Canis lupus familiaris: one gene and its partners. The protein of the gene in region 2 purifies or fractionates together with the protein of the main gene of each other region. This does not show direct contact. Links are inferred from orthologs where the notes say so. Each region holds a gene or a part of one and is shown on either strand. Other genes may lie near its edges.

Region 1 (5,734 bases), on a different chromosome or scaffold from region 2:
GTCTTAAAAAATATATATAAAGGTAAACACTATATAACTAACACAATGTACAGGTGAACATGACAACATACAAGCAAAAATATTGAAACACGATAAATATTTTAAAATAGGTAAGTACATTATTAAGGTCATCTATGATGGGCTGGTGCCTCCTATGAACTTTTAACTTTATAGTTGCTTAATGCTATCAATAAATGTGACAAATTTGATTCAATTTATTTCATGATGAAGTCTTTTGAAATGACTAAACATGGGAATATGATGAAATATATCTGTCCATAGTAATTGTTTTATTAAGACCATAGGTCTGCTTCCTCAGCTCTTAATCATTCTTGCAAGCTTAGTAATAAAAAGATCTCATGTCTTCTTGCTCTGACAACTTCCAAAATAGCCGCTCGATTCTTTATTTTCCAGAATGAGACTGATTCCTTGCAAGTACCTCTTCACATCCAGTATGGAGTCTTCATTGCTCAGGAGAGTCCTTCCATCTCCAACCCCTGCACTAAGCCAATTTCTAGGACTTCCCAATGCTGACAAAGTCCAGTAAAGAATTTCTCACAGCCAGTCTTAATCCAGCCCACCTTTTACACTTGAACATGTTTAAGATATGCTGGAGCATATAGTGGAAGACATCAGCAGTCTGCCCTCTGGAACTTGCTGCCATCCACTGAAACAACAGAAAACAATTGGATACAGTTAACTGTCCATCAGTCCGGGATTGGTTAAATAATTTATGACACACCCATTTATTGGGAGACAAAACAAAGTTCTCTATTTACTAACACGGGAAGATCTCCAAATGAAAAAAAGCTAGGGGCAGAATAGTGAGTACGGGCTCCTATCTTTTATGTAAAAGTAGAAAAAGTATAATAAAAGAATATAATTATAGTCTTACTAGTTTGCATATACAAAAAATAAACTAGATAGATTTAAAAGGCATCAGACACTTCAAAACATGGGAAATGTTGGAAGAAATTATGTCAAAATGTACATCTATTCATACGGCAAAATTTAAATTTACTCCTAAATAGAGAAATACAAGTTAATAAAAATATCCATAAAAGAAAAATAAATAAAAATAAATATGGGAGAAATGCACAAACATTGCTGGTGATCATATTTTGGAAAGAAATTTTTATACGTCTTGAATCCTGTCCTTAGGATTTATCTAAAAACAGGGGAAACTTCTGTGCTGAGATTTTAGTTTATTGGAGTCTATAAAACAATGACGTACAAAGTTTTTATTCAGGAACTAATAATGGGCAAAAGAAACTATAGTATGTGGAATCATCGGAAAGTCCTGTAGCCATCTAAAAATGTGAGTGGATAGGGATGCCTGGGTGGCTCCGTGGTTGAGCGTCTGCCTTCCGTCCAAGGCGTGATCCTGGAGAGCCGGGATCGAGTCCCACATCGGGCTCCCTGCGTGGAGCCTGCTTCTCTGTCTGTGTCTGTCTGTCTCTCTCTCTCGGCCTGTGTCTCTCATGAATAAATAAATAAAATCTTTAAAAAAAAATGTGAGTGGATAGAAGGGGAGGTGGGTGGCAGGTGGGGGTGACTGGGTGATGGGCACTGAGGGGGGCACCTGATGGGATGAGCACTGGGTGTTCTATATGTTGGCAAATTGAACACCAACAAAAAATAAATAAATAAAAATATAAATAAAATAAAATGAAATAAAAATAAAAATGTGAGTGGAGAACAATTACAACGGAATTGCACTGCACAGCCAAAACCCAGGCTATACTATTCATGTGCCGTGGTCACAATTTGGTATTTAGAGACCCATGATCCGTGTATTAAACGACTAGTAATTTGAATATGTGAACCAAAATGGTAACTGAGGTGTAGGATAAAAATCATAGCCCAAGTGCTTTATCGAGGAACAGTTTTAAGCATCTTGCCCCCAGGGCCGCCGCCTCTTCCCCGTTGCCTTCCCATCTATACAAAAGCCGCACGTCATCGTTATTCAAAAGGCAGAAGCCAGGAAGTGTAAATCTTTAAAAAAAAAAAAAAGTATGAACTTAGGAGGAGAGCTCAGGCGCCGTGAGAAGCTCGCAGCACACGCGCAGCACCACGCGGGCGCCCCTGGAGCCCCAGGCCGCGCCCGCTCCTCCGCGCGACCCCGCCCGGCCCCCCGCCCCGGCCCCCGCCCTCGGCGCCTCCCGCACCGCTGCTCCCCGCCCCCACGCGCCCGCCCGCTGACGGGGCCCGGCGGCGCGCAGGCGCAGTAGCCGCCGCGGCCGCTCCTAGCCCGGGGGATCCTGGGACCAAGCCTTTCCGGAAGGACCGGCTCGGCGTCCGGGGCAGAGCCCGCGTTCCAGGCCCAGGCCCGAGCCAGGCCCGCGGTCCAGGCCGTCGTCCCTGCACCGCCGCCGGCGTCCGCGGCGACGCTCCAGCGAGCGCGGAGGGCGCAGCGGGCCGCGCGCTGAGGTGGGCCGGCCTCGCCGCGTCGCCGGCCGCAGTACGTGGCGGCGCCTCCCCCTTGGCCGGGAGCGGAACTGCTGGAGGAGCGGCGGCGCAGGCCGGACCGGGCGAACCGGGTCGCTTCACTGCCTTCAGGTGATGAATCGTCCGCAGAGCAATCAGATTTGAGGTCCGCAGCCCTCCGTGGCCCTGCCCGCCACCAGTTTTGAGCGGATGACCGGCGGGTGTGTTGGCGGGGTGCCGCGGTGACCGCTCGCCCTTGATCAAGGAAAGCGAGCCCTCCTGCTCGGGGCGTGCGCGGCTCGTCTCCTTGAGAGCTTTCAGGCCACAGCCTCGTTCCCCGGGGGGCCCGGGTCTCCGCGGGAGGAAGGCTTTCCCATGAAAGTGTCCCTCGGCACCGGCGAAATGGGCGTCTCCGCCCACCTACAGCCCTGCAAGGCAGGAACCACGCGTTTTTTTACCAGCAACACTCACAGTTCGGTGGTGCTGCAAGGCTTCGACCAGCTCAGAGTAGAAGGCTTGCTTTGTGATGTGACCCTGGTCCCGGGCGACGGAGATGAAATCTTCCCCGTTCACAGAGCTATGATGGCGTCCGCTAGTGATTACTTCAAGGCAATGTTCACAGGCGGAATGAAAGAACAGGATCTGATGTGCATTAAGCTGCATGGGGTGAACAAGGTTGGGCTGAAGAAAATAATTGATTTCATTTATACTGCAAAACTTTCTCTCAATATGGACAATCTTCAGGACACCCTTGAAGCTGCCAGCTTCTTACAGATTTTGCCCGTCTTGGACTTCTGTAAGGTGTTCCTTATTTCGGGAGTCTCTTTAGACAACTGTGTTGAAGTTGGGCGGATTGCTAACACCTACAATCTGATCGAAGTGGATAAGTACGTCAATAATTTCATCCTGAAGAATTTTCCTGCATTGCTGAGTACCGGGGAGTTTCTAAAACTCCCCTTTGAACGGCTTGCCTTTGTGCTTTCTAGTAACAGCCTTAAGCACTGCACTGAACTTGAGCTCTTCAAGGCCGCCTGTCGCTGGCTAAGATTGGAAGACCCTCGGATGGATTATGCTGCAAAATTAATGAAGAACATTCGATTTCCATTGATGACACCCCAGGATCTCATCAATTACGTGCAGACAGTAGATTTCATGAGAACAGACAATACTTGTGTGAATTTGCTTTTGGAAGCTAGCAATTACCAAATGATGCCATATATGCAGCCAGTGATGCAGTCAGATAGAACTGCCATTCGATCTGACTCGACACACTTGGTCACATTAGGAGGAGTTTTGAGGCAGCAGCTGGTTGTCAGCAAAGAATTACGGATGTATGACGAAAGGGCACAAGAGTGGAGATCTCTTGCCCCCATGGATGCTCCTCGTTACCAGCATGGTATTGCTGTCATTGGAAACTTTCTTTATGTAGTTGGTGGTCAAAGTAATTATGATACGAAAGGGAAAACTGCTGTTGATACAGTTTTCAGGTTTGATCCTCGGTACAACAAATGGATGCAGGTTGCATCGTTAAATGAAAAGCGCACGTTTTTCCACTTGAGTGCCCTTAAAGGACATTTATATGCTGTTGGTGGGCGAAGTGCGGCTGGTGAACTGGCCACAGTAGAATGTTACAACCCAAGGATGAATGAGTGGAGCTATGTTGCAAAAATGAGCGAGCCCCACTATGGCCATGCTGGAACAGTGTACGGAGGCTTGATGTATATTTCAGGAGGAATTACTCATGACACTTTCCAAAACGAGCTCATGTGTTTTGACCCAGATACAGACAAATGGACACAGAAGGCTCCAATGACTACAGTCCGAGGTCTGCACTGCATGTGTACAGTTGGAGACAAGCTCTATGTCATTGGTGGCAATCACTTCAGAGGAACAAGTGATTATGATGATGTTCTAAGCTGTGAATACTATTCACCAACCCTTGACCAGTGGACACCAATTGCTGCTATGTTAAGAGGTCAGAGTGATGTTGGAGTTGCTGTCTTTGAAAATAAAATCTATGTTGTGGGTGGATATTCCTGGAATAATCGTTGTATGGTAGAAATTGTCCAGAAATATGACCCAGAAAAGGATGAATGGCATAAAGTTTTTGACCTTCCAGAGTCACTTGGTGGGATTCGAGCTTGTACTCTCACAGTTTTTCCACCCGAGGAAAACCCTGGGTCACCTTCTAGAGAATCCCCTCTTTCAGCACCTTCAGACCATTCTTAGGACTAAAATGTAGTACCTTTGCAGTGCATCATGGATGATCTCACACTTCCCCTTAAATTGTATCTTCTTAAAGTGATTGGTGCAGTTATTAGGTTAAATGGTAACTGATGTTATTTGTATTGCTTGGCTCAGTGTGTTTATCCGTATGGTTAACAAATGCATTCTGAAAATGTATTTAACATAGCCAGCTGTTTTAACAAATGTAAAAAAGATATGTAGAAAAATGTTTTAGATGTCTTTGTGGTGTTGTGTAAGTCAAATTGTAGGTGATTGTAGTAAATGTGTAATTATGTTCGTTTATGCTTCAAAGCTGCAAGTTTTCATCTTTCACTTCAGAACATCGAAGGGAGGCTGCTTGCTCTGACCTAAAATAGTAAAAGGTCGCCAAATATCACCTACCTTCCCTTTTTTCATAATAGTTTTTGACATCGTTGACAATTCACCAGATCGAGTGCATTCAGAATATGTGAAGTTTCCTAGATAGGAGAAATAAACAGCGTACAAAACCCTAAGTCAGGATTTTGTATCTCTGGAGAGAGGGAAAGGGAGAGAGGAAATATAGGTATGTATGCACATAAACACATCCGTATGCATACATACATGTGTATATACATTCATACAGCTGTACACATACATATATAATTTTAAAATTGATTGGTATTTCGGCTGTAGGAAAATTGTTTCTAAATTAAATTTTTTTTCTTCTACCTAGCAGCTATTTCTATCCAAATGGGAATTCAGTACCAGAGAATAAGTATCTATAGAATCGTACTAAATTGAGATAGATAAGGGCTACAGCATATTAAACTGACTACCAAATTTGTCATTTGACTAAATTGTTACTTCAGATAAAACCTATTACTTTTTCTGCTTGTGTATTGTTTTCTATAGAGTTGCAAGTTCAGGTTTCTGAAAGTTGGTTTTGCTGAATACGTTTAAGCTCTGCTGTTTTCCACCCTTTTTGTTCAGTAAAACTTATATGAGGAAAGCTAAGAAAGAAATAACGCTGAGCAAAACGATAGGATTTTAAGTTCAGTCTCCCAACTTAGTCATTCTAATGTGATCATTTGATTTGGGG
Region 2 (5,085 bases):
AAATGTGCTTAAATTGAGATAAAAATACTTACATTTCTATATTTAGATTTCTTCATCATTCTGCCATTCCCTTTTATGGTGAGAGAAGAGGCGCTGCACAGGGCCTGAGGAATTATTATGATTATTCCAGAAAAAATAATAGATTTTTTTGAGTTTTTATAAATAGTATATTTGGTGTACATATTGTGAAAAGATTCATTGTAATACAGTATCCTTTTTTCTCACCTAGTCTTTGGTAGGTTTTTTCCCCTCAAATATTTTTACTATCCATGTGCAGAAATATTACTATTGTTATATAAACTTTAAAAAATCTTTTTAGTAGTTTTTTTTACATCACATTACTTTCTAGATGTCTGGAGTACTTTCTCTCATTAGCTAATATGTATTAAATGACAAAGTCCATCTTTATATATTTTTCCAATTGAATTTCATCTTTAACTACTAACATTGCTCTTGAATACAAAATTATTCAAGAATGTATGATTTTTGAGCTTATATAAGTTACATGGTTCAAATATAAACAACTAACTAGGTATGCTGGTAAAATGTTTTCTTTCAGTAGAACTACATAGTATAAACTAATTGTAGTCTTTAGTATGTCTTTAAAATTTTCAAATGAGAATATTAGAAGTTTGTGATCTTACTATTTTTCTCTCAGCTGCTTTTATTGCATTTGAGTGTATTTTAAAACTTGAATTGTTAGTGGTTTGTATCCATGGAGGATAGTTCTTAAATTTGGCCAGTTTCAAAAAGTTTTTAGTCAACACCTGAGAAGGAAGACTGGAATATATTTTAGCTTAAAAAAATACAAGATATTATATATTTATATATGGAATGAATTAAAGCAATTTTTAATGTAAAAATATTAAAGCCTTGGGATATGGAAATATTTTGGTAAAGCTATTTTAAGCATAAATACAGCCAAAACTTGGTTACTTCAAAACATTTAAAAAAATGATAGAATGTTTCTCATTAGTTTATAATAGTAAACCAGCCATATCTAGTTTGGTGTTTTACACAGGGATTTAAATGACACCTCGTGAGGATTATGTCAGGGTTCCTTTTGGGTTTTTTTGTATTGAATATTTACTGAGTGTCAGATTTGAGGGATACAAAGACAAGACCTGTTTATATCCTGCCCTCTGAGAACTCCGTCTGTACAGAAATGACTTTTATATTCCAGAATAAATGTCAATATGAGAAACACGCAAAATCATATGCCTGCAAGTTGTCAAGGAAAACTGTAAGAGATACAAACAACACTGATCTGGATCTTGATGGATAAATAGGAATTTTATGCCTTGTAGAGAAGACAGAAGAACAGTCTAGCCCAGAGGGACAGTATATGAAAAGGCATGGGAAGTATACAACAGAAAATGAAGATAGATCCATTGTGGCTAGGTTATGAGGAACAGGGTTAGGTGGAAATGATGAAGCTAACGGTACTTGTTGATGTCAGCCTATGTAGAAGCTTATGCAGCATTCTAATGAGTTTGGACCTTTTTAAGTTTAAGTAGATTTGACATGTTCAGGTTTGTTTTAGAAAATAATTCTGGCTATAGCATATTAGAGGATGAACTAGAAAGAAGTAGAGATTGAAGTCCCTCGAAGGAGGAAGAAAGGTGAGAGCCTCAACCAAAGCAGAAGTACAGTGGGTACAAAGAAGAGGGCATAGAAGATGATGAAAGAAGTGCCATCAAGGGACTTGGTAACTACTAGATGAGTGGAAAGAAGGAAAAAGAATCATCAAAACTGCCTGACTTTGTAGTTTTGTGTTTGGCTTCTGGGACTCTAAAGAAGATGAATAAATTTGGCTTTGGGTGTTTGATATTTAAGTTGTTTCCAGACAAGTTAACATTAAATTTCAGAATGATAGTTAACTATTATGTCTTTGAATGTATATTGTAAAAATTATACTAGGTGCTTAATGGCTTATTTCATTTAATTCTCTTAACCACTGTATATGGAAGGTGATAATATTCCATTTTCCATATGAAGAAACTGAAGCTAAGAAATTATGTATTTGCTCAAGATTAGATAACTAACTGCTTAGTGACTGAGTTAGATTTTGATCATAAGCCTCTCTACAAAGTCAAGAGATGAATCCTTCAAGAATGACATAAACATAAAAATATAATTTTTTTATTTGAAATTCAGCTTAAAACTATGAATATTTCAAAAGCATATCTATCATGCTCTAAACATAAAATTTCAGACCTAAACCCTTCAATATTAAGCTCTTGTTATACCTGTAATTTCTTATCTGTTTCCTATGTCTGTATTTCTTATCTCATGAATTTCTGTCTTCTGCTATCAGCACACTTGGCCTGTACTCTAGTCTACCATGTGTTTTTGTAAATAAAGTTTTATTGAAACATAGTCCAGTCATTTGCATATTATATATGGCTGCATTAGTGCAGCAATGACAGAGTAGTTACAGCAGAAACCATATGGCCCTCAAAGCCTTAAGTATATCTTATTACCTTGTCCTTTACAGAAGTTTTCTAATCTCGATGGCAAATTGTAAGCTCCGTGAGGGTTTCCTGTACTAATCACTTGGGTTCCTCTGAAACTAGAACAGCCTCTGGCATATAGTATGTATTCAGTAAGAATTTTTTGAAGGAATAATGAATTGATTGATTTTTTATTTTATATTCAAGAAATACAACAATATTTATTCACTTGGCATTTCCAAAAAGATGATAAAATGTTCTTCAAAGTTAATATGGAATCTGAATTTTTTTTTTTTAATTTTTAAAATTACTTTGATGTCTTACCAAATTTTAGAATAGGGGAAATTTACCTCTGGAGAATAAAAATGGCCCTTGTAGTGATGATTACAGTAATATAAGCTGAATATGAACTTTAAAAATATAACTATTTTCACCACTTCTTTTTGCTTTTGTTTTTGTTATTATTATATGTACAGCTTTTTCTAAGAGACTTCATGCTCGAATAGATTGAGATTGTTTTTCCTGATTGCTATTTGTTCTAAAATTGTTTGTAAACATACTTATTATGTCATCTTCAATATTAACACAAGTGTTTTTATTTAATTAAAAAAACCCAAACTCTTTCTTTTCCTCATTGCATTAAGAAATTAAATGAGCAAGCGGCAGAATTGTTTGAATCTGGAGAGGATCGAGAAGTAAACAATGGTCTGATTATCATGAACGAGTTTATTGTCCCATTTTTGCCCTTGTTATTGGTGGATGAAATGGAAGAGAAAGATATTCTTGCTGTGGAAGACATGAGAAATCGATGGTGTTCCTATCTTGGACAAGAAATGGAATGTAAGTTTAACCTGTGCTAGTGGGCACCTCAGTTGTTGGGATTAAGTGTAGTTAGAATTAGATTATTATTTATTCTTATCATTTTTTATATTCTGTAATATTTTACATTCACATCATTACTTTTTTTTTCCTGTTTACAAACCAAGTTGTGCACATTGCCTTGCCATTTATATTCTACCTCTCTCCACCAAATGGTGATTATTTTGCATATTTTGAAATGAAACATCAATTGACCACTTTAATAAATCATGTTAAAGATAATTTCTTTCCCTCTCTATCTTTAGCTACATCTAATTGTTTGTATTTACAGCAAACCTCCAAGAGAAGCTGACAGATTTTCTGCCAAAACTGCTCGATTGTTCTACTGAGATTAAAGGTTTTCACGAACCACCGAAGTTACCTTCATATTCCACACATGAACTGTGTGAGCGGTTTGCCCGAATCATGTTGTCCCTCAGTCGAACTCCTGCTGATGGAAGATAAACTGCACACACTTTCCCTAAACACACTGTATAAACTTTTTTTAGTTCTTAACCCTTGCCTTCCTGTCACAGGGTTTGCTTGTTGCTGCTATAGTTTTTAACTTTTTTTTTATTTTAATAACTGCAAAACACAAAATGACTATACAGACTCTAGCCGGACTACAAACAATAAAGCTGAGAATCGCATGGCGCTCAGACTTTGTTTTAACCAGGACTGATGTATAATTACAAATCTGATTGATTTCATTATGGCAAAACCATGCTTTTGCCACCTTTCTGTTACAGTATTACTTTGCTTTTTTCTTTTATCTACAGCTTTCCATTCAGTCTGGATCCTTCCATGACTGCAGCCATTTAAGTGTTCAGCACTGTGTACGATACATAATACTTGGTAGCTTGTAAATGAAATTAAAGAATAAAGTTTTATTTATGGCTACCTATGTGTTTGTTAGCAGGTATATTGTATATTAGTGTATTATTTTAGTTATATATAAATGAATTTTGTCTGGGGATTGTGTAAGATTGGATGGACAGATGACTAGATTATTACAAACTTTTAATTTTTCTCTGTTAGCATATTGGAAATTTACTAAATATTTGACACTTAAATGTATCTATATTTTTGACTAAGTTGTTAAACTTAGTGGCACCTAAACCTGTTTTGAATTCAAATCAGGTTTTCACTGAAGTAAGCGGCTGATATTTAAGTCAACCACACTGAAACTTTTAACTTTTTCTTAGATTAACCTTTTATTTTTTTATGTATTTACAAATAATATAGCAAGGTGATTATTTCAAGAGATACCAGAAAAAAGTACTTGAATAAGGGCTATTTAATAGTGAAACTTATAAGAAATCTGTATATGTATATACACACACAGACACACACACATACACACATATACACATTCTTCATAATGGAGGACAATGTTTTACATTATATAATCATTCTATTTTTGTAAATTGTATACCACTTTAATTGAAAATGTTCTCTACTAATCAACGCTGTGAAATGAAGTTGATATTGTTAAACTAGAAGTTATGAGTACCTTACCTGCTTTTATTTTCCTCCTTTTCAAAAAGAAAAAGCTGTAGAATGTTTTGTAGATGGAACTGCTGTTTAAGATTAATGAAGTAATATTGTGAATGAAAATCAATGCTTTAAAGGTAATCATGTTACCAATAACCTATTTTTGACTTTATAAAAATTTCTTTATAAATGATACTTTGTTAGCATAGTAAAATATATCATTATACTATGTGTATGTTTGTTATAGCGCCGCCAAAACTTGAACTCTTTATAAGTGCCT
Region 3 (5,511 bases), on a different chromosome or scaffold from region 2:
AGGATAATAGTACCTACCTCCTAGGGGTGCTAAAAGAATTGAAACATTTACACTTCTATTCTGACTTAGTCATCATGACACTGTGATTACGATTAAGTGGAAAAACATTAACAAGGAGTATCTCAAAGCAGATAGCATGTAACTGAGCTTTGCTATATATAGCACCTAGACTTTAAAAACAAAACAAAACCCAAATTAAGGAATTAACCCAATTTAGGAAACAATGATATATGTGGAAAAATTAGAAACACAAGAGGGCAGTGATAAACCAGGATTATTTATAAAGGAAAATAAATTAAGTATCCACTACGTGTCCCGTCCTTCTACATAGTAAGACCAGCAACCCTGTAACATCATTTAGTTACATCCCATAGTCCACCTTAGACCATTTAGTAAGGAGCAGAGCCAAGATTTTAATACTAAGAGACAGGCCTCAGATGCTTTTCTATGTCTACAGTCCCATGGTAGCTGCTCAAAATCAGTCTTCCCTGGATGAGGTCAGCTTCATGCAGAATTATGAAAGAGTCCAGAGGGCATCACTCACAGTGAAGCATCCTAAGTATCAACTGCTGTCTGAGCCCAAGAGGATTTTCCCCCTATGGACTAGCTGGGCAGCCAGGTTTAGTGACCACCACCAATCTGTTAAGGGCAGATCATGTTTCAGACACTGTACAGATATTTAACCAATTTTGTCTTTCCAACAGCTCTTGAAGGTCTCAGTGGCCCAATTTTTAAAGAACAGGCAAGGGGAGGGGGGGCAGCCTGGGTGTCTCAGGGGTTTAGCGCCGCCTTCTGCCCAGGGCCTGATCTGGAGACCAGGGATCGAGTCCCACGAGTCCCCGGTCCGGCTCCCTGCATGGGGCCTGCTTCTCCCTCTGCCTGTGTCTCTGCCCCTCCCCCCCATGAAAACATAAAATCTTTTAAAAATTTGTTTAAAAAAATAAAGAACAGGCAACAGGACTTAGGCCATTAATAACAGCATTTACTGAAGGCTACAGCCCATCTAGGAGCATGTTACGGATCCCACCTTCACACGGAGAAAATGAAATGTAGAGGGAGCACGACTCAGGAGAGGTCACTCGTCTCCCGAATTTGAAGCCGCGTCTAACTCCAAATCAGTTAAGTGAAACAAGTAAGACCCAAGGGACTCGGCCACTCCCAGGACAGCGAAGAAAAGCTGAGAACGCAAGGCTGCCTGTAGGGCTGAGCAGAGTCCGAATAGACCAAGTTTTTCCTATTGAAACCATTAACACCAGCTGCCTACCGAGCGCCGAGTGGCAGACGCTAAAACTTGCATTACACAAACTCCTATGCGAAACGAGCTGATCGCTCCATTTTACAGAGCAAGAAACCGAGGCTCCGAGAGGTGAGGGAGCTCACCCAAGGTCACACCGCGAGTCAGCGGGGCCTGAACTCCGGTCTGGGGGCTCCTGGGCCCAGCATCTCTCCTCGGCATCGACAACCACCATAACAAACCTTCACCCAGCACCGGTCTGTCTATAAAAGCCTATTCTCCCCACAGATGAATAGGGGTGGAAAGACGACGAAGGGGACACCCCCGCCGCCCCGAAAGCCAGCCCCTATAGCACCTGCCCTTCGACTTGGGGAGGCAGGGACCCCGCCAAAGGGCCCCTTCCCTCAGAGTCCCCGCCGTCACCTCCACCCGGACACCCCAAGACCCCGTTTCCACTCGCTACCCGCAGGCCGTAGATCTTTACCCGCTCCAGGCCCCCCGCGCTCGGGGTCGGGGCCGCAGCTCCCGCCGCCTCAGCCCAATACCCTCGAGCTCTGCCAGACCCGGGGCAGCGGTCGAGGCCCGACCGCCATCTTGCCCCGGGGTGTCCACTCTGAGAGCTCCGCTGGGAACCAATTATCCAGTTCCGGGAAACGACAGTTCCGCAGAGCGTCTGCCCTCGGGAAGGACGACCTCCTTGCATCTTGCCCTCTTCTCTGGAAGGTGGGGGGGGAAAATGGACCCCTCATCAGGCTAATGCCTGATCCAGCTCAGAAGTGATGCCACCTACTCCAGCCGCAGAGGCTGGAAGGAACGCGGCCGACGTGTAGGTTTACGACGGACCCTTTACGAAGGCGCGCTCTGCGGGGCGGAAGCGCGCTGGCGCAGCGGAAGTTCCCGCCCCGGGCCCGCCTCTGCCCCCCGCTTGCGCGAGCTGGGTGTTTCCTGCCTCTCAGTCCGAGTTTGGAGACTCCTGCGTCCTCCGACTTTTCATGGTAGGGAGGGCGGTGCCCACTAACGGGGGGCTCTGGGCGGCCGCGAGAGCCCGGCAGCAGCAGAGCGGAGAGGGAAGGAGCCAAGGAGGGGTGGGTCGCGAGGAGGGGCCGTCGCGAAAAGGGAGAGGCCGATGGGGGGGGGGGGGGGGGCGGGGGGGGGGAAGGGCTGTGGTGAGTGACGGGGGCGGTGCCCCTGGCTGTTGGGGCTCGGGATAGAGCATCTGGGCTTGGGGGAGTAGATACGTGTGGGTGAGCTGGGGGGGTCTCTCGAGTCTTGAGGACCCGTTGGGTCGGTGAATGTGGAGAGAACAAAGAGGGGTTGTCGAAGATGGACTCTGGGGTGGAAAGTGAGGGTGGGAGGGCGCTGCGCAAGAGAACGGTTAGGTTTAGAGAGCGGCGTGGGATTCCTTGGGGCGAAGCGTTGGGGGGGGGGGTCTTTGGAAGTTGTGGCTGCAGCCTCTCGGTTCCGGGGAAACTGGAGAAGGAGCTTCCAGGTGCTTCTGAACACGAGGGCGTGTTTGGGGGAGAGCAGGGAAGAGATAGAGGGGAGGGATGGCGGGGGCCTGAGCTCCAGGGACCTTGGCCTCGGAGGCCAGCGCCTTCAGCCCGCGCCTTGGTCCCTCTCCAGTCACTTCCGTCCGAGCCCGAAGCGGCCACACCTAAGGAGTTCAGAACGGATCTCCGGCTGTCACCAGCGGTCGGAAGGGTTCTGCAGGCGTGTGATCCTTGAAGGGTCTGTTCCCGAAATGGCTCTTTGGCCCTGGCTGGGAATGACCAAAGTCTAGCCTAGCTCTCTTACTCCTTTGCCTCTTGGAACACTGCCGAAGACGACTTAGCCAACCTGTATCTGATTTTGCTGCATCTTATGCAAAATAAGGACCACCTGCAGGGAAGGAGGCATTAAACCAGCAGTTCTTAAACTGACCTCCAGACTGGCAGTAGCAGCTGCAGAATCACCTGGCAACTCGTTAGAAACGGCCAAATCTCCTGCCTGCCTGCCTGCCTGCCTGCCTGCCTTCTTTCCTTCCTTCCATCCATCCATTCATCCAGTTATTCATGAGAGACACAGGCAGAGGGAGAAGCTGGCTCCTCTTAGGGGAGCCACAGATCAACACAACCAGGCAGACGCTCAACCACTGAGTCACCCACGTGTCCTAGAAATGACCAGATTTTTCAAGCCTTATCACTGACCACTGAATCAGTCTGGGGGTTGGACCCCTCAATCTGTTTTAACACGCCCTGTTAATGGGAGATTAATGATTTCTTGATTTGGGCTATGTAATGAAGGGAGCCTGAGTCAGAGAAACCTTGTAGTTCTGATTCTTCATTTTTCTCCCCTAAAAAGTGGGATTGGTGACGTCTTCCTCGCTGGATCCCCTGGGAGAAATAGGCCAATAGTTTGCATGATACACAGAGGGAGGGAAAGTAATTTAGCAGAACAATTGGAAATAGCAGTAGTGGCCCCGTAAACAAATTTTGGATGCAAAATAATGCCACGGTTATGTGGCTGATTTAATGCAGTTTGGTTGAAGTGGAACAGCAGATTTTCCTGAGTTGTGGAAATGCCCTTAGTTTGGGGAAGTTTTATAATTAGCTAAAAGGCAGTGACTCTTAGATCAAGCTGGTTAAAGGAGCACCTTAGCTCTGTGACTCTTAGCTGGGACCACATCTTAGATCACCTGAAGAGCTGCCTTTTTTTTTTTTCCTTTTTTTTTTTTTTTTTAAGATTTTGTCTATTAATGAGAGACACACAGAGGGAGAAGCAGACTCTATATTGGGAGACTGACATGGGACTCCCATGTCACAACCTGAACCAAAGGCAGATGCTCAACCACTGGGCCACCCATGTGCCCCCATGAACTTCTTAAATACAGCTGAGCTGCTCCCTCCCCCTCTGATTCTGATTAATTAGCCTGGGGTGAAGCCCAGGCATTGGTACTTTTACATGCATCCAGGTGACTGTAATACAGCCAGGCTGGGACCTCTGGTCTTAAGTTTGAGGGACAGAGGGGAAACTGCACTAAGGGCCAGGTACCAAGTATTCAAACATTCATTCCCTGAAGGTTCTTATGAAGATTATGGCTTTACCTTCGTTTCACAAGGTAGGAAACAGAGACTCAAAACACTTGTTTGAACCTCACACAGGAAGTGGTGGAACTGAGACTAGCCTAGGTTCTTCAGACTTCTGATCCAACCTTCCATACACACGTCTCCCCCAACACACAATGGAGACAGTTTCCACAGAGAGCTGTATGGAAAACACCCAAGGGTGAGGGGAGTGGTGTCTTTTTCTCCTATTATACTTGCCTGAGCCTCTTTTCAAGTCAACACTTTTCTTCCTTGGGCTGATTTTTATTTTTTAAGCATGTATACAGTTGTTTCCTGTCTGTGGCTCTGAGGCTGTGAAATAGGGGCTGGCTTTTATTTATGATGCTCTGGTTTAGTTTTATGTGTGGTCAGGAATTCACTGGGCCAATAGAACAGGAGGTTGGGGGAGCTTCTTCAAGATGATGAAGTGAATAGGTGTACAGAACTATTTACAGTGGTGGGCTGCAATTTTGGCTGCATGTTGGAATCACCTAGGGGAGTTAAAAAAATTTCTGTTGCTCAAGCCATACCCCTAGATTAGCTAACATCAGAATTTACGTGAATAGGACTCTGATGTCAGGTTTTTTTGTTTTTAAGGGGAGAGCCACTGTTTAGAGTCAGCAATAGGATACTCAGGGGAGATCTAACTGGATTAAAATTTTCAGATTGAATAGAATCCATAACCAATACCTCAAGTATTAATTTTATCTTTGTTTTTTGTAACCAGTTTTGCTCTCTCCTGCCTCACCTCCCCAACCCCATTAATGATGAAATCAAAACTTTGAAACAAGTGAAAAAAAAGCAGGATCCTGGTAGCAGTGGCTGAGGAGTCTTCTGTAGAGAGATGTGCTGGGGAGACTTAGTGTCTGCTGCTTTGTGTCCTTAGCTCAGTGCAATACGGGCTCAGAGACATGAACAGTCAGACTACCTTTCAACCAAAGACCATTCCCAGTATTGACCTTTAGAAGGGTGGGCTCCAGAAAGGTTCAGAGCTTTCTTTGCCTATTCTGGAGTCTCAAGCTAGATCAAGATGGTTTCTGCTTTATCTCTTAGCGATTCTGGTGGGTGTCTGTAGAGTTGGAAATGGTCTTCAGAGAAAAGATAATTGGAGACTTTGAGAGCATTCTTGAATAATCATAACGTGAGTCTTTGCTGCTGTAAGCCAGAAGCCATGCTGAGTACTCTGTGGCATCC
Region 4 (5,085 bases), on a different chromosome or scaffold from region 2:
TGCTTTTCCACTTAGAATCGTCGCCACACTGTTTGTGACTTAATAAAATTAGCTGTTTCCTGTGTGTTGCCTTTGATTCTGGCAGAGCCTGCTCGGCTCTCTGGAGATGCTCAGGGAACCCACATTAAAGTTCATTGGTAAAAAAATAAATAAATAAAAATAAAGTTCATTGGTCCTTCAGTGACACCCTTGGGTCCCAGACTGAAGCTCAGCTCGGAGGGGGCCCATCTCTCCTGTCTGGTCACCTGTATGCCCACCCCGGGGCCACAGGGCAGTGCCATCAGGCAGCTGGTAGCTGGAAAAACTTAAAACCTTGAAAAACTTAAAGAATGTTAAACTGGTGGAGAATGGATTAATAGCTGCCACTTAGAGGCCGTTTGGATTTGCCCTGTATGGTACAAGTCAGAGCTGATGGCCCAGACCGTTTAAAATCATAAAAGGCCCTCCCATAGGGCTGTGGACAGGTGAGTACCTGCAGATGGGCCCAAACAGGGGGATTTACTCTAACTGGCAGGGAGGATGAGAAGAAAGGAAAAGGAAGGAGGGACAGATGCTGCGAGGCCCCCAGGAGCACCATGGCGAGAGCAGGCCCAGTCTGAGCTGTGAAGAGAGAGATCTGCTCCCTCTAAGAGACCAGCTCTGCCCCTGTGAACAGGGCGGACCTGGAGACGCATGGCCTCCATTAGTGTTCGTATTAGAGTTTGAGATGTGAAATTTGAAACAGCAGTGGATAAATGAATTAAGTGGGAACATGGAGAAAATAGTGATGCAGGAAGGTAAGCACAGAATTTATATTTTGACTATAATCTTGCAGTTGATACTTGTCTTCTCTGTGCACCTGATTCTGCAGTAGGTCATGTGTGTGCACGCACGTGTGTATGTGTGCACAGTGCATGTACACGCACGTGCTCAGCCGTGGAGGACATCGAGCCCTCGGATGAAGGAGGGACTGTTCCCTGCCCACCCCCCTCCCCGCCCCAGCTCTCCCTTGGGAAGAGTAGCAGGGGCCCACCAGCCCTGCCCTGCGTCCTGCCCACCCCTGGAGTGTCAGCGCCTTAGCCACTGCACACAGGCCCTTATCCAGAAGAGACTCCCCAGACGTGGGCACACCAGATGCTGAGTGGCTCCGGTCCAGCCAACAGGTCCACGGAAAGAAAGGGTGGAACCCTACCACGAGGGAGCAGGAGGGGTGGGGGCGCTGTCATTCTCCTGGAAGCACTGGGTGGCCAGGGAAGAGCCAGCAGTGTGTCCCACCCTTGTGGGCTGGGAGCATGCCATGCCCCCGTGTCACCCGGCCTGTCCTTCGTGGCTGTTGCACGGGCTCCAGGCATGCACTCCATGTCCGTACCCAAGTTTAGTGACACCCTTACAGGTCTCGCCATCTTACTTCTTTAGCAGAAGGCTGGGGACAACAGGGAGAGAGCCTGGGGAGGAGGTCGTACTGTTAGGGGAGCCTCGCAGGTGTTTGTTGGGACTCTGGCCTCCCCCCGAAAATCCCCTGGCACATCACCAGCCCAGTACCCCAGTGTGTGTAGGACCATTGCGCCATGGGGCCCCTCAGAAAGTAGAACTCACCCCTATGCCCCATTCCAGCTGACCCTCTGTCTGCCGCTGGCTGCCACTGCCTCCTGCTTGGATCCAGCCCTCCTCGGACCCCTCAGTTTCCCCAGTAAGTCTGTGCAGCCCTTCCTGCGCTGCCTCTCCCCCCACCTCCACCTGGGCTCCAGCTCCTGTGCCAGCTCATCTCAGTCTGGGCCCCCTCCTGGATTTGTCCCACTTTGCTGAACTTCACCTCCAACAGGTAGCCAAGGTTGATGCCGTGAGGCATCAACTCCTCCTGGACCACAGCCCCTCCCTTCCTCCTCACAGGCCTCTGTGACCTGCGGCCCAGAGCGCTCAGCCCTTGCCCTGGACAACACCGTTGGCCCTGAGTTGACCCCACTGTCCTCCATCTCCGGGCCACCCTGCCCCTGGTGACCAGACCAGTCTGTCCAAACACCTGGCACCTCATCACCAGCGCGCACACTTTGGAGGGCCTTTGTTGTTGGATCTGACGTACAAGCCCAGCCCTGTGGGAAGCGGTGTTCATGGGACGAGCAGGTCATGGAATGTTCTCCCCAGACACCTCGCCAGCCTCACCAACCCGGGTCTTTCCTTCAACACTGGGCCTTCTCTTCCTGAGGGTCTTCAGCAGTGTTACTCCGCTTGCCCGAAACACTTCTAACCCCCAAATGCCCCTCTGTCCTCCAGGCCCTGCCTGTTAACTTAAAAGCACTCTCTTGAGGGCTTAGAATCTCCTCTGAGGACAGACAGCAGCAGGGGCCTTCAAACATTTTTTTTGCTTATCTCCTAAAAGAACTTTGGGAAAAAGTACAATAACCCTTTGAACATGTAAGGTTGAAAAGGAAAATATTAAGTTGAAATACAATTATTTTTATAAATAGGAGGTAAAAAAAACCATAGGATGGAAGATGAGGAACCAATTACTAGAAGTAAATATTTAATGACACGATTCACTAAAATAGATTTTAACCAACTCCCTGAATAAGGCACAGCAAATCTGTAGTCATCGTGCAAGACTTTTACTCATGGGCTTTAGCCAGTGTATCTTGAAAATGTTTAAATTCTGGAAAAGTCTCAATTATGTTCAAAAAATCACCTGAGTCCCGATTACCCATCAGTTCTGAATTCTGAACATCTGACGGGCGGAGCCCCGCTCTCATGGGGCCCAGGAGGTGCGAGGGCCCCTCGCTGAGGCCAGGTGACTGCTGTGCTCTGCTTCCGTGGGGGTGGGGAGGGTGTTGTGAATTCAGTCATGTGTGCAGGCAGTTTTAGGAAATATAGGGGTTGAGGATCTGGAAATTCATTCCCTGAAAACTGCCAGCACGCCCTTGGAAAGTGGATCTGCGTACCCACACCAAAAACCACGGTGCAGAGGATGGGGTTCTTCCCCTTTAGAGTTCGGGGCAGGCGGTGTTGGTAGAGAAAGGAATATCCGGGTGTGCCAGGGAGGGTAGGGCGGCTGCCCTAGAGGCCCGCCTCCCACAGACTTCCTGGCCGTCGCCAGTCCCCCCAGCTCACACACCAGCGGTGACCTGTTTCACAGCCGCGTGTCAGGCTCACACCCGCACACACCGCATGCTGTGAATTCTCAGGGCCAGGCAGGCCTCCCCCTGGTTTGCTGAGCACAGAGCACCCAGGCTTAGCCAGCTCCGCCTGGCTCCTGCGGCCGGCCTCCACCCTCCGCGGAGGGCCTTCCTTCCACACTGGCCCCAGCGTGCCGGAGCTGTTCCCTCCCCCAGGGCACAGGAGACGCCTGACAGGGGGACTCGATCTGACCCTGGGAGATGGGCCCTGGTCCTCCCCCAGGGGGTTGACGCCCTGCTCACTTTATGTTTAAATACCGACTTTAGTGAAATCTAACCCACAGCCCGAACAACTCACCCATTTGCAGCGTAGACGCAGGGGTTTTTATGTGCAGCTGTCACCCCAGTCAAGCCCTGGTGACTCTTAACCCGACTGCCAGAGGCAGGGATTCATCAATTAATTACAAGAGCGCTCCTGTGACAAAAGGAACCCGAAATGGAGTAATCCAGAGAGGACATTTTCTAGGAGGCCGTGTTACTGCCTGTAACCCACAGACCCTCAGCCCATTTGCCTCTGTCCCAACTGAGACAGGTGCACCAGCCTCTTGTCGCCGCCCCGGGGCCGCCGGCCCAGAAGGACACCCGCCATCGCTCACGGGCCTTTGCTCTCTCTCGCCAGGTGTTCCACTGTGTCCACTTTGAGTGTCCGGAGCAGCAGAGCAGCCATAAGGAGGACAGCAGCGAGGAGTCGGGGCCAGGGGAGCCTGGCCCGGGTCCGCAGCTCGACCCCCACGCCCTGCAGGCCCCCAGCGGCAGCTCCCTGCCTTCCAGCCCCGGCTCCGCCTCTCGCTCCCCCAACCGGCAGCACCAGTAAAGGGCCCCCAGGCCCCATTGAGGGCAGAGGCAAGGACTGGTGCCCACCCCCACCCCCCCACCCCCCGGCCAGGAGGGATCTCTGTTGACTGCCCCTGACCCCTCCAGGGAGGAGCAGAGCCCGCTGCAAAAAGGGACACACAACAGGCGTTCTCCCAAGGACAGAAAGGGGGCTGCTTTGTTCTCCTCAATTTGTTCAAATCAGGCTGGTCTCCAGGGGGAGAAAATGGGTCTTCAAACTTCATCAAGTCCACCATTAACACCCTACCTCTCTAATGTCACTGGGGCAAGGGGGACAGAGGGAAGCGGTAGATGGGTGGTGTCGGAATTCCTACAAAGCACAGCGCAGCAGGGGCGCGTGCAGGGCAGGGGGTGGGCTCTGCTCCCCGGAGGCACCCGAAGGCAGTGGGTTTCTGTAGAGTGCTGACTTTCCTGGAACACATTGCCGTGGGAACTGATTTTTTAAAAATTTCTTTTAGTTATTGTCCATTTGCTGAATCATAGGTGTTCCAGATCGTCTTTTGCACTGCTTAAACAGCACATCCCTTGTTTTCATCCCTCTTGATGCTGTAATTTCCCTCCTTAGTTTTGAGCGGTTAAGCCTGGGGTGGAGCAGAGAAGCACTGCCCACGTCTCCCGTCTCCCGAGTGAAGCACAGACGCAGCTCATCACGGCCCCTGGTCTGACAGGGAAAATCCTCCGAGGAAGTTCAGCAAAATACACAATGAGCAAATCAATCCAATGACACTGGAGTTAATGATCGCTCGAATTCCTGAGTTATTAACCTGTCATTCCTGAGACGCATCCAGCCTTTGAGCTTGGGAGGCTGACAAAGAAGGAGTTGCTAAGCCACCTGCTAATTTCATGGTCCGAAGTATGTAAATGTGTATATAAGTGTGAGGAGTCAGCGCGGTGGCCGAGCGGGGGTCGGGGTTGGGGACAGGGAACTGCGCCTTTGCGGCAGGTTGAGGCTGTTGGGTGGCGCTGCTGTGCCTCCCCCGCAGGACGTACTGCACACCCGGGGTTTAGAACAAAAAGCAGTTCTCGGAAGCTTTTGTCCTCGTCCTCAACGGAGTGGGCCTCCCGACTGCGGTGGCCGAGCCAGCCCTGTCGCGCCTCCTACACA

The links.
Region 1: the proteins of USP25 (region 2) and KLHL9 purify together in Homo sapiens (affinity purification with mass spectrometry; 3 studies listed by BioGRID and IntAct, with this or other methods). This does not show direct contact. The link is inferred for Canis lupus familiaris from reciprocal best matches to the Homo sapiens genes USP25 and KLHL9.
Region 3: the proteins of USP25 (region 2) and KCTD10 purify together in Homo sapiens (affinity purification with mass spectrometry; 4 studies listed by BioGRID and IntAct, counting the BioPlex papers as one, with this or other methods). This does not show direct contact. The link is inferred for Canis lupus familiaris from reciprocal best matches to the Homo sapiens genes USP25 and KCTD10.
Region 4: the proteins of USP25 (region 2) and BTBD9 purify together in Homo sapiens (affinity purification with mass spectrometry; 3 studies listed by BioGRID and IntAct, counting the BioPlex papers as one, with this or other methods). This does not show direct contact. The link is inferred for Canis lupus familiaris from reciprocal best matches to the Homo sapiens genes USP25 and BTBD9.

The regions. Positions count from the first base shown.
Region 1 is NC_049232.1:40,904,275-40,910,008, forward strand, and holds the start of KLHL9 (kelch-like protein 9), read left to right. Parts: upstream 1-2,440; 5' UTR 2,441-2,802; coding exon 2,803-4,656; 3' UTR 4,657-5,734.
Region 2 is NC_049252.1:13,121,736-13,126,820, forward strand, and holds the end of USP25 (ubiquitin carboxyl-terminal hydrolase 25), read left to right. Parts: intron 1-3,097; coding exon 3,098-3,293; intron 3,294-3,603; coding exon 3,604-3,776; 3' UTR 3,777-5,031; downstream 5,032-5,085. UniProt on the Homo sapiens protein: Deubiquitinating enzyme that hydrolyzes ubiquitin moieties conjugated to substrates and thus, functions in various biological processes including inflammation and immune response.
Region 3 is NC_049247.1:17,948,060-17,953,570, forward strand, and holds the start of KCTD10 (BTB/POZ domain-containing adapter for CUL3-mediated RhoA degradation protein 3), read left to right. Parts: upstream 1-2,084; 5' UTR 2,085-2,226; coding exon 2,227-2,319; intron 2,320-5,511. UniProt on the Homo sapiens protein: Substrate-specific adapter of a BCR (BTB-CUL3-RBX1) E3 ubiquitin-protein ligase complex. The BCR(BACURD3) E3 ubiquitin ligase complex mediates the ubiquitination of target proteins, leading to their degradation by the proteasome.
Region 4 is NC_049233.1:7,340,586-7,345,670, reverse strand, and holds part of BTBD9 (BTB/POZ domain-containing protein 9), read left to right. Parts: intron 1-1,593; coding exon of another isoform or gene 1,594-1,785; exon of another isoform or gene 1,786-1,800; intron 1,801-3,765; coding exon 3,766-3,960; 3' UTR 3,961-3,989; intron 3,990-4,545; 3' UTR 4,546-5,085.